Linked DNA regions of Lonchura striata. The protein of the gene in region 1 interacts with the protein of each later gene in a pairwise test. Links are inferred from orthologs where the notes say so. Each region holds a gene or a part of one and is shown in the gene's direction. Other genes may lie near its edges.

Region 1 (7,119 bases):
TTGGGTTGGAGCACACCCTGACAAAGCCAAATACCCATTCCAATTTCCTTCTGTTCATTCCTTTGTGCCACCCCAGCTTCTTTACCCCACTTGAATACCTTTACCTGTCCTGTCTCTTATCTCCTCTACATTCAGGACAAAAGGCTTGCCTCCTTGGTATTTCCAGAAAGTTAATTAAAGTCTACTGTCAATTAGCATGTTCACTCCCATCGTGACCAACAAGAAGTGGGAAGAGAAATAAGAGGTCATACTTTGCTGTGGACTGCATACAGGGTTAGATATACAGACCCTATAGTCTACACACTGGGAGAGTGAGAGGTATCCTAGTGAGAGGAGTGAGCAATCTCAACAAATTGGCTGCTGAATGTAAAAAAAGTGTCTAATGTACAGGTGAAAACTCTCATGCAAAAATTGGACCAACATAGGTGACTTTTCATGAGAACAGTGAAGTACTCAAAATACATACCCTGCTTCAAAGCATAAAGAGACAGGTATTTATCAGGAACAAACCTGTTAATGTACTTAATTATATGGAAAACCAGTGTTTTATTAAAAACCAAACTAAAAACCCCAAAACTTAGTTATATTCAAAATGTTAAAATATGTAAAATCAGAGGCAAGCCTTAAGCATGGAAAACTGGAGATCAAAGAACTGTATACCAGCAAATTGGATCATATGGTGGCTGGTGTCAAGTGACCTAGCTGTACTGTTTATAAAAACAAGTAAAAACAGTTATGCTTGAAACTGAGGAAATCTAAATTCTCCTTTGGATTCCAAAACTATCCATCTTTCTAAGTCAACCTCTAAACAAGTCCTTGACACAACCTCCACTCTTCGGATGTTTCCTTTGTTTCATCTACTATGGCCCAGACTCTCCCTCTCAAAGGCTGATGAACATATATTCCCAGTTTAGTCTTAAAATAGACTGTGTTCTGGAGTGTCTTCAGGGACCAGCACATCTGCTTGCATTACTTCTTCCTATAAGACACTGAGCTACCACTTTGCTTAAATTTATATTTTCTATGTGATTTCCTCCTTAATTATGACTCTGGGGTGGCTAACACATCTCTGGAGCACTGATCTGCAAAACATACAGGAGTGCTAGAAAGCTGACATAAAGGACAACACAGTAAAAAGGCTGCTGAAGCTGGTGAGCCAGAGGGATTTTCAGGCTGAGAAAGAACTAGAAAGGAAAGAATAATTTCTGGACTAGGTAGGCAAAACAGCAAAACAAGAGGCAATTAGAGCACATAAGAGAGAAGTGAGAACAGCCACTGAGGTCAGATTCTGGATTGCTATCATTTGGAATTAACAATAGAGGAGGGATTAATGGATTATTATCAATAAGTAAAGGACAAGAGAGAGACCTGTGGAAATTTGCATTTTGAGCAGTCAGGCAGATACTGACTTTTGTCATAAAAGAGAGGCAAGAAGGGGGTGGAGAGGTGTGTGTGTGTGTCTGTTAACAAGAGGCACCAGTGTAACAATAGTGATAAAATGGATCAAATTAGTGCCCTTACCAAGAGGAGATAAAAACTTTTCCAGTGGTGTACAGAGAGACAAGTTATCAGGTCTCCCACAGAGCTCAAAAGCAAGCCCAGCTACCAGCTACATACAGTCCACATATAGCAGGTACACTGAATAAAACTCCCACACTGCTGCCTCAGCCCCCTCAGTCTCTCCACTCCCCTGGTATATGAAATGCCTGGCTCTTTCAGAAAGGAACAGAATACGGCATGGCAGGGGTTCTCACCTCTTTTTTCCTTTTTTTTTTTTTTTTTTTTTTTTTGAGGGGGTGTAAGGAGTGAAGTCCCTAGGGATTTTGCTTTGATGAGGTATTCAGCAAAACTTTACAGTCTGGAGTTCATATTGAAACACACTCAAATATTTCACAGCGCAACCAATGTCCAAATGTTGCCACACTAGCTATAATTGCCATCTAACACAGTGGCCTCAGCAAAGAGGACTATAATCACAGAAAAAAATGTCTCTGGGGACTACACCCCGCCTCTTCCAGAGGCTGTTTTTATGTATAGTACAATTTTCACAACATTTTTGTTATACTGTGCAATATGATGCAGCTTTATGAAAAGATACTTACAGACAATGATGTATTTATCAAATCAACTGATTCCTAGTGACTTCGGTGCTTTGTATAAAACACCATCAAGTGAGACAAGTTGGAAGTAAGTACATGACAGTATGGATTTTCTTTGTAGTGTGCACCTTTTGTCCATTATCTGTAGCAAAAAATATGGCAGTCAAAACAATAGTAAGATTATCTGAGAAAAGACCAGAAAAAAATTTTTCAATTTATTATCTTCAGAAAAACAAACTGGGGTTGCATAAGATTCAGGTGTTGTGACCCATTGATTGCTATTCACTTCTATAGAGCAGATATTAATGATTAAGCATAATAAGCAGATATTGGATAAGAGCTGACTTGTGTAATTATCATTGAACCAATGAATTAGGAGGGCTAATTGCTGCATTGCTAAGGCTAATTGCTGAGGGATATTTAATGTCATATTCAAGGAATGTGTATTTTTGAATACACATAGCAACAAGGTGTAATTGCTTGGTCCTAACAGCTACAATTCATACAAGGGCCTGCTGAATTGAATGAGTGCTGGCTGCAGTTTCAACAGAGGAACAATTTGCTCAACAGTAAGCCACCATCTGTGAAATCCTAGGAAAGGCAAGTTCCCATGAATTCTTAAATGTACGAACAGAACTTAACAGTACATTTGAATATACTGAGAAAATGATCATACAAACTACAAAAGAAAATACATAGAAGAAGCAATCTCTGGAAAATAAATTATTGGAGACATCAAACAAACAGGGAAGCAAAGGATGCATTTTCCTTCTTTCTATTTTTTAAAAACTATCAAAAGATGTGGGAAGACATTAATCACCAGTATAATACCCATATGTAAGGGAAAAAATTAATGAACATAAAGCAGAGAATCACCGGAATTGGAAAACATGGCTTTCTATTTCTACTTTTCAAGGGAAACAGCTGCTTTAAAGGTAGAGATGTAGGTTTTCATGGAGTTGAAAAGGAGCTCCATGTTATTCTATGATCTTCTGTAAAGCATTTAATTTCTCATACTTCAGGGAAAGTGACAGCTGCCTGACTTTTGCCTACTGTCACCTTTGCTGACATTATTTTCCTCAGAGAAAATTCACAGATTTACATTAGTGCATTGCAATGTTACTTCTCTTGTCCAAATTCCTTCAAAACTTGCAACAGATCTTCACAGTAGGTCTGTTGGACCGATTATTTCAACTTTCAAGCAAAACAAAGTAGATCTACAGGTAGTCCAAAGCTATTATGGTGACTCAAATGCTTAGACCATTAAACAACAAGCTTGGGATGGAGTGGACATGAGCTTTCTCCCACCCCAGCCAGGCACTAGCCTGGGACAGCTGCTGATGATTAGCAGCATCTTCTCTGGGCCCAGAGGTGCTCTGCTTATGGAAGCAAGCTGCAGATCTGTAGCAACGCTACATACATAGCTACATGGATGAGGGAGCAGTGGGAGCTCTGCCTTCTCTGTCTGGGTCTGGACCACTGCTCCTCTGCCAAAGCAGCAGCCACCCCCTTTTCTTTTCGAAGGTGGTGACCACGGACAGACGGGCTGCATTAAACGACGACGTGCGATGCGTACGATGTGCGGCCAGCAAACGGGCACACGGCGCCTGCCGGAGAGGCAGCCGTGGGGCTGTTCCCGTCCCGCCCGGCAGCCCAGCAGCTTCTCCTGGGCAGGCAGGCCGGGGCAGAGCCGGAGCAGCCGGGGCTGTCCCGCGGCCCCCCCTCGCCCCGGGCGCCCTTTGCCGCCGGTGCAGAGCACAAGGCCCTTCCGCAGGCCTCGCCTCGCCGCGCCCGCTGCAGCCCCGCTGGCGGCGCGGCGGCCGCCCGGCCCGGCGGGGGCGCGGAGACAGCGCCGGGGGCGGCGGCTGGCGAGACCAGCGGTAGCCCGGGGCCCCGGAGCGCAAAGAGGGAGGTAACCCGGCGCCGACACGGCTGCCATTTCCCCTGGCCTTCGGCGCTGAGGGATTGAGGGCGGGGAGAGGAGGCGGAGGAGAAGGAGGAGGGAGGGGAGAGGGAGGTCGTCGAGTCGGAGCGCACTGAGGCTCGAAGCTGCCAACACTCACACATCGCCTGCCGCCGCAGCCGCGCTGCTCCCGGGCTCCGGAGAGAGGGAGCGAGTAGAGGCGAAGAAAAGCCAGACGCGGGAGAGGAGGCAGAAGACCGCTGGCAGAGGGAAGGAAGTCAGAGAGGAGGGAAACGGAGGGAGAGGGATAAGGACCCCTCCTCCCCGCGGAGAGACGACTTCCCATGTAGCTAGGGATAGAGGGAGAAGCTGGCGCTCAGGAACAGTGAGAGAAGCTCTCACAAGCAAGTTACTTAATCCGGGGAGAGCGGCGGGAAGAGGGCACAGCAGTAATCACTGATCAGAAGCACTATTCCCAACCCCTCATCATTTAAGCCCCGGGCGGTTCAATGCACTACTCCAAGCTCTTCCTAGTTTCTTCCTCGGGCTAACTTCGGAGGACGTACCGCCGGAGCGGCCCGGAGGGGAGGACAAGGGCCTCGGAAGAAGGAAGGAGTTTAGTGGGGGCTGCCTGCGGAGGAGAAGATGGGCTGGAAGCGCCGCTGTTGCTGGGGAGGCGGAGGCGGCGGGGACCTTCTGTGCCGGCTCACCCTGGTGCTGGGATTCCTGCTGCCCGCCTGCAGGACGCGCCTCTACACCAACCACTGGGCTGTGCGGATAACCGGGGGGCTCCCGGAGGCCAACAGGATAGCGAGCAAATACGGATACGTCAATATAGGACAGGTAACGCTGGTCACAACTCCTTCCCAGCGGGCAACCGGCGCTGCGGCCGCCCTGCGCCGCCGGGGCAGGGACGAGGGCGAGGGCGAGGGACGGGAGGCCCCGCGGCTGCTGCCCGGGCACGGCCCCGCCGCAGGCCCCGCCGCCGCCGCGGGGCGGTCCGCGGAGCCGCCCGGCTCCCCGCCGCGGGCCCCGTGAGGTGATGCGCGGGGACAGGTATGCCGGGGAGCTCGGGGTCGTGGCCTTCCCCTTCGAAGCCAGGTGTGAAACGGGGCGCGGGCCAGGGAGCCGCCTGCGGGGCGGGAGGGGGAGGGCATCGGCGGGGGGCGTCCCGCCGCGGCTCTGCGCTCCGCCTCGCTGCGGCTGAACTTTGCGCTCCGCGGCGGACAGCCTCTCGGCGAGTCGCCTCTCCGAGCTGAAAAGAGCCGGTACGAGACGAGCCGGCAGCCAGGACGTGGCAGCCGCGGCCGCCGGCTCGCCGCAGCGCGCTGAGTCCCGACCCCCGCGCTGGCGGGGCGTGCGGAAGGAGGCGGTGGCGGCGTGTCCCGGGGCGGCTGCCGCGCGTGCGGCTGCCCGCGGCGCTCCGTGGGGAAGGAGAGCACGCTGCTGGGGCCAGGGCACACCTGGACTTGGCTAGATCCAGACGTCACCACGTCAGAAAATTCTTGTATCCAGGCAGGTTAGGAAACTGAAAGTTAGCAAACACCTGGTTCTCACTGGAATGGAAAATGCCCCACTTCTACAATTAGGCACAGTTCTTTTTAAAATATCCTAACTTCACTTTTTCTTAAGGAGTTTATACTCGGTGTTCTAGGCTTTCCTCGCAGTTGTTCTCAAAATCCAAGTTGCATATGTAGGGTTTACAAGGTGAGTGCCTAAAAAATAAACTGTTTGCATGTTCTGTTGCATGCTTGGGTGCAAACATCCAAGTACATTCTTTCTGGACAGTAGTTTATTCTACATGAATCGAAAGGTTAGAAATGAACATTTACAGGTACAGAAGGCTTCCTTTTATACATGAGATTTACAAAACCGTATCTGTGTTTACACTCCAGGCGTTTCATATCAACCAAACCAAAATAAGACCTGATTATTATTTTGTTTTAAAATGGATTCCCACCTACTACATCATTGAATCAAAAGTTTAAAGTACATATCAATTGCAAGCCTGAAAAAGACAGCTGGTTGGTCAATTAAGAGAAATAATTTACATGAGAAAAACTGGAAAATGTCACTGGGGTATCACAAAACGTGATGTGTAAGGACGCAGTTACTTAGAGTATCAACTTCTCACGTAAGCAGACAGGCAGTACTACTTCCAGCTGGAGGCACTAAAATATGGGAGGAAGATTGCATGTCAAAAGTGAAGTACTACTTTGGAACTACAGTTTAGGAATCAAAATTTTTTGCATCGGTTTTCTTTTTAGTCTTGAATGTTTTTTGTTCAAGATGATTTATTCCTATCTGGGCCCTTATAGTGGCAAAATTTGCAACCATTGGTTGCAGGATGCGCCTGTCCCCATTTTTTCTTTTGTCAGGCTGGCTGGTTAGCTCAGAGCCTGCCTTTTTGTACTTTGCATATGTAAGCCATGTCTTGAATTAAGGAAAGAATGTTGTAAACCTCTGTTGTTTCTTATGTGAAAGTGTCTATATACAATTACAAAATACCAGTAATGGATAATACAGATTAGGTATACAGATTAGGTATACAAATGAGAATGAGAGAAAATAGAGACTATAAGTAACTGAAAATTGGAAAATGCTCTATTAGGTATATGGATGAAAAAAAGAGTAGACTGTGTTTCTAGGTAAAGATGGGTAAACGGAGTAAGGTACTAACTTTTGGAGAAAGGGAATCAGGAACAGTTTGGACAGATGAGGTGGACTTGTCCATAGCGAGCTTTCTTCATAGATCTGAAAAAGCAGGAAAATACTTGATGCAAAACAGGAAGTGCAAAAAGAAGATCAGAATGGGGCAATAATCTGCTGGTTATTATTGAGCAACAATTGCAAGTAATTAAAAAATTTATTTTGAGTGTGATGTTGAAAGATATTTTCTTAGCTGAATATGCTCTGAAAATAAGAGACACCAATAAGTAGAATTTTCTCATAGAGTTATAGAATAGGCATAATATTTTTGGTTACATTAAATTTATGAGCTCATCTATATAAAGAAAGTGAAAAAAGCTAAATCAAAATTCCACTGCAGCTGGTCCAAAGGACTAACTTACAAATTATCCAGAAAAATAACCTATTGAAAATATTAAAGATAAGTAG
Region 2 (7,898 bases), on another chromosome or scaffold:
ACAGTAATAACTCAAACAATAACTGCTCCAGATCTGGTGTTCTGTCAGTGCTGAGCATTGTTAAATTGGAGATCCTGGGTGCAAACACAAGCAGAGGAGTCCCCATATACCAAATGCAGACATAGCCAACCCACATTTAAAAACTATTTTTTTTTAATTTCCTGTTTCAAAATAACTGTTTGGTGTCCAAATGGAATGAGAATGAAATGTGACTAGCAGCCTTGTGACTGTTGTGTTGTATAACAAGATAAAAAGTGCTTGGGATTTGTGGATTGAGCTTTTTTTCATTTGTCTTCCAGAGGTCAAAGTCCACTGCAAGCAGTGACCGATACAATTCCCTGTGTAAGTCAGGCTGGACTGCCTGTGCCTCAGGTTCTAACAGCAGGGGAGTTTGTGCAAGAGCACCTTGGTAGGTATTTGTCTGGATTTCTCTGTGGTCCCTGTGATGATCCTAGGAAGCAGGAGGAGATCCAGAATTGTCTGAGAGCCAGGATTCTCTGAAATCCCAGAGAAGTAATGATAAGAGTTGTGGCTGAGGCCAGCCTGCTAGCCTGCTTCCCATTCTGCTTCTTGTATGTGTCCAAGAAGCTGTCTCCAGTTTATACTGTTGCACTCTAGTAAACAATTTTGCATGCAGATATGGGCAGCAGATGTTACTCATGCCTGTGTGAACACTTCAGTGTTTTTACAACAGGGATGATCCTTGGATTGAGTCTTGTTAAACAATGGATGAACCCACCAGAAGTCCCACTGGTTACAGCCATTCTGTTACAGCTTGCTCAAAACACTTTGAAGGATGGTCACGCCATCCTTCTTTGGCCACTCAAGGGGATTGACTCACAAATACGAGCAAAATAAAATTAGATGGCTTAAGTGGCTGCAACCCCAGCTGTGTCCCCGCTGCCCAATTCCCAGAAGGTCATCCCTGCAGCCAGGCTGGCTGTGGAAGGCAACTCCTGAGCTGCTGTAGTGACAGCCCATTCTTCAGGGTGTTAAAATTTGTCTGGCTCCTCTGTGAAACAGTTTAGGAAGCTTAACCAGAATAAAAATGTGCACTTTTCCATCTGAAGAATTACTTTTTAGTTTAATTTCTCAAATGGGCTCTGAGAAGCAGCAGCGTTGCTGTGAGGGCAGGGCAGGGAGAGATGACCTTCCCTTTTGGGAGCAGCCATTACGTCAGTTTTGCTGCCTCACAAAACTATACCCTATGGTTATTTTTGGTGCTGGATTGCCTTAATTTTCTGGAGAGTGAATGAAGGATTAGCATAGTGTGCTTATGACATTTGGAAACTAAGCTTTTAGGAAAAAAATCATAATTCAGCATGTGCTGAGGTGGAAATGCTTAAATTGCTAAGGAAGGGAAGGATGAGTAAAATGTGAATTTTTTACAATTTTTACAATTCAGCTAGGAGGTTAAATCCTTTTATAATTTTTTGGGTTTTGCTGCTTTTTAAGACCTCTAACCCAATGCCTACTATCCAGCTGCCTCTAGAGAGAGAAGTCTTTAAAGAGACCAGCTTTGTACCTATAAATAATGTACACAGCAGAGTACAAAAATGGAGTCAAGGAGAAGCTCCTCCTTACCTGAATGTAACTGCAGCAGCTCTGTGAGAATAGCTGTGGTCAGGCTGTGAGCAGCTCTCCTACCCTGTCATCCATCTTGACTAAACTGCTTCTGAGAACTAATTCTGAGATTCCAACACTTGAATATCAACTGGTAAATCCCAACTGCCTTGTACTGAAACACATTATTTGCCAGCAGCCAAACGTGGCAAGGTTTTAAACAGTGTGGTTGTAATCCTGCTTGGAACTAAAGGTCTGCTGGAGTGCTTTAAGTTGGATGTGTTGGAATATGGAGAATTTTGCAAGTCTGAACCCCTGCTATAAATGAAAACACTGTGGCAAAAAATGTAAATAAATGCCACACATACTTTGTGTAAGAGCCCATCCCAATATCTATAAATATGGTAATTTTGGTGTTTCCCAATTCTGAGTTTTAAACAGGAGACAGACACATGAAATACTACAAAGCAAGCATTTTATTTTTTTCATGGATTAATTTTATAATTTCAGTTCTAATTTACCTGAAAATAATTAATGGGAACTAAATGTAGTTTTTAAAAGAGGTTTGCCTTTGAAAGGAAATAAATTGTTCTTGAAAAAATAACTTCAATAGCTTCTCAGTTTAACTGCATTTTAATATGAACACAAAATTTATCCCGGGTCAGACTCTGCAGGAAAACTTTCTCATGATTCTTGTAGCAGTTGATTCATTCCTTGCTGCCTTAATTTTCCAGCTTTAAATGGCAGGTTCTCTGCAAAGCCATCCACTTCAAAGCTTCATAAAACAGAGCTTTGAATAAATTACTGAGTTAGAAATTATACTGGCTGTGCCCAGCTTTGTGCCTGGATGTGGGAATACTTGGCACTGGGTGTGGAATTCCAAGGAAAATTGCCTCTTTGCTGGCTTGCCAAAGAGCAGTAAGAAGGAAAACTGCTGCAAATGAGCAGACACGGAAATCTCCAGCTTCCCTTTCCAGAGAACACATCCTGAAGAACTGTTGAATATTAATACACATTACAACTGGTGCAACAATGGGCAAACACTGGGATTAACAGAAACTACTGCTTCTGGAGGGGATGTGTCCCAGCATGGCCACAGGGCAACACTGCCTGCTGGAACTGCTCTTACCTTTAAAATGCATCCTTGTGGAATCAGTGGAAGTGGGGCAGGCCCACTGTGTGTGGACACACCATGTTGGGGTGCCAGGTGATGAACCCCAGGCTGTATTATTTTGGATTATTTTTCTCTCTTCTGCAAGCTTTAGATAATATAATACTGATAACATGATACTTCTAAGCAGTGACATAGTAGCTTTGTCTTTCACAAAGAGACAGCCCACCTTCCTCTGTATTCAGATTTCTGGTCTGTGTGTGTGGAGATGATTTGTCCATAATTGTTTGCTTTCCTCAGAGTCTTTTGAAGTTTAAATCTTCAAGCCAGCTCCCTATATTAAAAATAAATTCTTCCAAGCCACCAATAAAATGTCATCTGTGATTAAAGCCTGACTCCTCATTTTAAGACTTGTCTCTTAAGCACTCTGAGGTCACTGAATGAGTCAGCGTTTGAAAGGACCAGGACCGTTATTGTTTGAGTAAAGCCCAAAGTTCATCATTGCTTGCTTAAATAGTTTCATCAGTTTTAAATGGCTTTGCATTGTGCTGAAAGAAATGTAAACTGCAGGAATGATTTGGCAGAGAGCTTGTGATATTTCAGGCACCTCAAATCTTGAAAAAACCCTCTGTATTAATGTTGAAGTTGGTATTTCTGGTAAGGAAAAGCTTTACCTCCTATGTAGTAAAGAGGAGCGTGAAGTGGGAAGTTCTGTTTGAGGCATAAACTTTCAACTGTGTTCTCTTAAAATAAGGCTTGGGAACTGTAAAATCTCCAGACGAGGGCTCTTGTACAGTGCCAAAGTCTGACAGGGCTTTTCTAGACACATGAACTTTATTAATTTTGCTCATTAGAATAGTGAAAAAATAGAACAGAGCATTAAGCTGCAAGGAAAAGACTTGAGAAGCGAGTCCATACTATTTTCAGGACTATTTGTGGAGCCCATTTATATTACACACATTAATTGTGACAGTCTTTAATTACATGAACACATTTTATTTTGTCACTTTTCCTCCCTGTTTGCTGCAGTGCACACTATTGGGACTATTTGGGGGCCATTAATCACACCAGAGTAGCAAATAACTTGGAGCAGGACTCCGCCTCTGTCTCCAGCCCGTGTCAGTTGTGGGTCTCTCCATTCCCTCTGCCCTTTTCCTACATTCCTAATTAACTCCTGTCTCAGTTCCTCACTGATCCATACAACCCAAACCCCTTTGTCTCAGTGGTATCTGGAGAATTGGGCCTTGGTGTTGAGGAGGAATCCGGGAACAGCATTTGAATGTCTTGCTCTCCCTGCAGTGGAGGCTGGCTGGAGCAGAGGTGGGAGTTCAGGTCATTTAGCTGTCATCACCCCCTGCCGAACATGCTCAAGTGAGGATAATCAGAGATTGAAATGGTATGAAATCTGTTGCAAATTCTGTCAAGTTTCAAGAGTTCTCCTCCTTACACTCTCGGGCTTCCCCATCAACCTTTGATTTTTGTTAAGCATCAGTTAAATCTCCGGTGCTTCCCTCGGAGCTGGACAGGCGCATTTGTTGAGCCCACCTTTCTCGGGCTGGCCGGGTGCTGGGCACGGCCGGTGGTGGGTCCGTGCGGGGAGCGGCGGGTCCGCCCGCTTGGCTGCGGGTGGAGCCCTGGAGCCGGGTGAGCTCCGGCTGCCGCGGGAGCGCTGCAGCTCGGCCCGGCAGCGATTCGGGGCGCTGCTGCTGCCGGGCTCCGCGCTTCCCGCGGCTGCTGCTGGGAGCCCGGCTGCTCACGGTGTTCACATCCCTGCCCAGCTCCCCTCCGCTGGGGCTGTTCCAGCCCTCTCCGCCTGCCCCGGGTGGGGGGTTCACCCGCTTCATGACGGCAAAACGCGGCTTGGCGGCATCCCGGGCCGCCGTCCTGCCGGTGACCCTGCGGTGAAACCCCCCCGGGGCCGCACGCCGCTCCCCTCCGCTCCAACGGCGAGGACCGGGGACGGCGGCGACCCCGCCGCGGCCGCTCACTCTGGCTCCGCCGCGCTAGCACGGGGAGGGGGCGAAGCGCGCCCGCCCCCGGCAGCCTCACCTGCCGCCGGCCCGGGGAGGGGGCGGCCGGGCGGGCCCGCGCTGGCCGGGCCGGCTCTCCCCCGGCCGCGGTGCGGCGGGGCGGGGCGGGGGGCGGGCGCGGCGGCGCCGCTCGCTGATTGCAGGGCGGGCGCTGCCAGTCCGCCGCCTCCCCCGCGCCAGCCGCGTCCCCGCGCCGGAGCCGCACGGCCCAGCAGCGAGCGCCCAGCCCGGCCCGGCCCCGCCAGCCGCCCCCCATGGAGGAGCAGCCCCACCACCACCATCACCACCACCACTATTACTACTACGGGCACCACCACCACCACCCGCAGAGCGCCTACCTGCCGCCGCCCGACGGCCGAGCCCAGCCTAAGCCGCCGCTCCGCCACGAGCACAAGCACGGCGGCCCGCAGCACACGGAGGCGCCGAAGCGGAGACCAGGTTGGAGCGGGCAGCGGGACGGGGCCCGTGACCTTCGCGGGGCGGCGGCGGGGGCCCCCTCTCCTCCTCCTCCTCCGCCGCCGCCTCCCCCGGCCCGGCTCGAAGCTTCTCCGCCGCGCTGGGGCCGCTTCCTGTCCGCCATGTTGGGGCTGCGGAGCCGCGGGCCCGCCGGCACCGCCGCCCGCCGGCACGTGGGGCCGGGCCGCGCCGCCGCCGCCGGCCGGGCCCGGGGCCGCGGGGGCGGCCGGGCGATGGGGGAGCGCCGGGATCGATCCGTCAGAGCCGGCGGCGCGGCCCGGCCCGGCGCCGCCGGCGGGAGGCGGCGCGGCCCTGCCCGGCCCGGGCGCTCGGCCGCCTCCTCCCCGCCGGGCCGGGGCTGCGGCCCCCGGGCCGTGCCGGGCCGCCGCAGAGGCGGTGTCCGGTTAGCGGCGCGGGGGGAGCCGGTCCCTGGCAGGGCCGAGCCCCCGCCGCGTTCCTGCGGGCTCCCCGGCTCCAGCAGTCCCTCTGGGGGGGTTTGTGCGGGGTCAAGGCGAGTGCGTGGCCACCAGCCGGCCGGAGTGCCGCGTACAATTTTTTTTTTTTTTATTTCCCTTGAATTTTTCTTTTACATAACGAGGCGGGAGGTGGGAGGGGGCCTGGTAGCAGCGGAGCGGGGTCAGCAGTGCCCCATGTGCAGCCTGGGCAGGCAGGGAGGGACCTGATGGGGCACACGCCAAAATAAGTTACCGAGCAAAAATAAGTTGAGAAGTCATTTCACTGTTTGCAGCGTGCCCAGGGTTTTAATATGTGCCTAGGCTGGCACCCCTCCCTTTCCAGCTCTGAAACGGTTTGTGAGCTTGCCAGATCCTCTTCACCTGTTCTTCTTACCATCCTGGATTTTTTCCTCTCCCCTGAATTTTGGTTGCTGCACCTCCGTGTCCAGGCCAAGGCCAGCTGTGCCAAATGTTGATTTGGAGAAAACTCAGGCAGCTGAGCTGTGAATGCTTGAGAATTGGAACTAGAAACTGCTGACACACTGACTTAGTGAAATGGATTTTGTTCTTCATTTTATTCTTTCACTCCTCATCTGCAGTGGTCTTATGACCACTCTTTATTGTTTTGTTTCATTAACAAGTGGTGTCAGAAGTCTTGAGTCATACAAGGTCAGCTGTAACACTGTTCTTGAGAGGGCTTCCTCTTCATGCTATTCTGAAATACTAATTTTTTAGAGGATCCCGCCGTTCTAGTTCTCTCTGGGGCGAAGTATTTGCAGTTAATTTTCTTAACAACATATTTGAAAGTTATAGTGGAAGTTGTGGTGGTTACAGATACTTGCATGTAGTAAAATCCTTTTTGATCCCCCTCGGCAAACTCAGTTGTGGAATTTCTGTAAAGATTCCTACAAGGATTCTTGTGTTCCCGACTTGCACAGAACTTGAGCTGTTACATCTGCCAGACATCTGAGGCTCCAGGATGTGAGGGTAACAACGATTTTTAGTTACAGCAGTTAATTTCAACAACATCAGCAAACAACAAAAACATTCTTCTTCCAAGCTGGAGTTTTGCCCGCTCCAGTTGTTGAGGGACTCCCTCTCTGTGCTGACTCGGTGCCACCGTGGCTGCAGATGGAGCCTTAGGTGGGTCAGTGGTTGTGGGGGATGTGGATGTGAGGCTTTCCAGCCTCGGAAGGAGGAATGAGTCAGAGGAGCGGCGGGTGCAGGAGGAATCCCTCTGCAGCTGGAGTGTATTTGTCGAGCAGGGCACGGTGTGCTCTCCCTGTGTCCCACTGGGGCTCCAGGGCTTCCCTTGGGGTTTTAGCCAGGGTCCTCGAAAGCAGCAGGCCTCTGGCCAGAGATGCTTGAAAAGGAGAAAGCAAAGAGGAAGTTGGGGTGGTTCAGTGTGGACTGTCCTGGGCTTCCAGCTCTGCTTGAATTGCACTCTCCAGAACCATGAGGCCTGGAAGTGAACTTCAGAAGGGAAGAGTAAAGCTCAGTCTGCAGCACAATCTCATGGCTTTGTGAGTTGGAGCCCTCAGCAGGTGCTATATTTCTTGGGTCTCAGGCTCATACCAGCTCTCCTGGGGACTCTGAAATACAAGTTTTTTCAGTGGCCAAGAGATCCATTGGTGGTGGCAGCAGAAGGGCACTTGCAGGGATGCATTTCTTACTTCTGTCACTTTTCAGTGCCAAGGAACATGTGTAGGGAGGTGCTGGTCGCTATCTTAAAATGCAGGGAGGAGATGTGGCCACATTTTCTTTCCTCCATCTTCCAGCTGAACTTGCACGGGTCCTTTTGCAAATACTGTGCTTGTTTTTTTTTTCCCATCCCTTGACTGAGATGGCATTTGGGAGGAGGGTGGGAAGGAGGACTGCTGGTGTCGTGGGCCCAGGAGGTGATGGAGATGGTAGGAGTTGTCCCTTGTTCACAGTGTGTATCCTGAACCTCCACAGATCTTGTCAGAAAGGCAGTGGATCCCGCTGTCTTGAAGCATCCTGGGAATTAATTTTTTCCTCTCTCTGACCTGGAAATAGTAGCTGATGAAATAACTCTCCAGCTTGCCAGTGATTTTCAGTACAGTATATTTTTCTGGCATAGTATCTGTATTTTCTTTTGCTTTGTTATGTTATCTGTATGTCACTCAGTTATGCGAGAATCAGTCATGGCTGGTCCTTCTTTTTTAACCCTTCTTGCTGTGGGTTCCAGCAAATAAATTTATGCAGCTTTACCTCAGAGACTAGATATTTTCCTATTTTAAAATGTCTGCGTGAGGAAACTGG

Evidence for each region. The genes of interacting proteins can lie anywhere in the genome.
Region 2: the proteins of PCSK5 (region 1) and NUFIP2 interact in binary tests that used the Homo sapiens proteins (3 or more experiments, as listed by UniProt). The two-hybrid records come from large-scale screens. The link is inferred for Lonchura striata from reciprocal best matches to the Homo sapiens genes PCSK5 and NUFIP2.

Annotation. Positions count from the first base shown.
Region 1 is NC_134642.1:69,633,203-69,640,321, reverse strand, and holds the start of PCSK5 (proprotein convertase subtilisin/kexin type 5), read left to right. Parts: upstream 1-4,110; 5' UTR 4,111-4,647; coding exon 4,648-4,845; intron 4,846-7,119. UniProt on the Homo sapiens protein: Serine endoprotease that processes various proproteins by cleavage at paired basic amino acids, recognizing the RXXX[KR]R consensus motif. Likely functions in the constitutive and regulated secretory pathways.
Region 2 is NC_134622.1:7,666,202-7,674,099, reverse strand, and holds the start of NUFIP2 (FMR1-interacting protein NUFIP2), read left to right. Parts: upstream 1-4,881; 5' UTR 4,882-4,958; coding exon 4,959-5,142; intron 5,143-7,898. UniProt on the Homo sapiens protein: Binds RNA.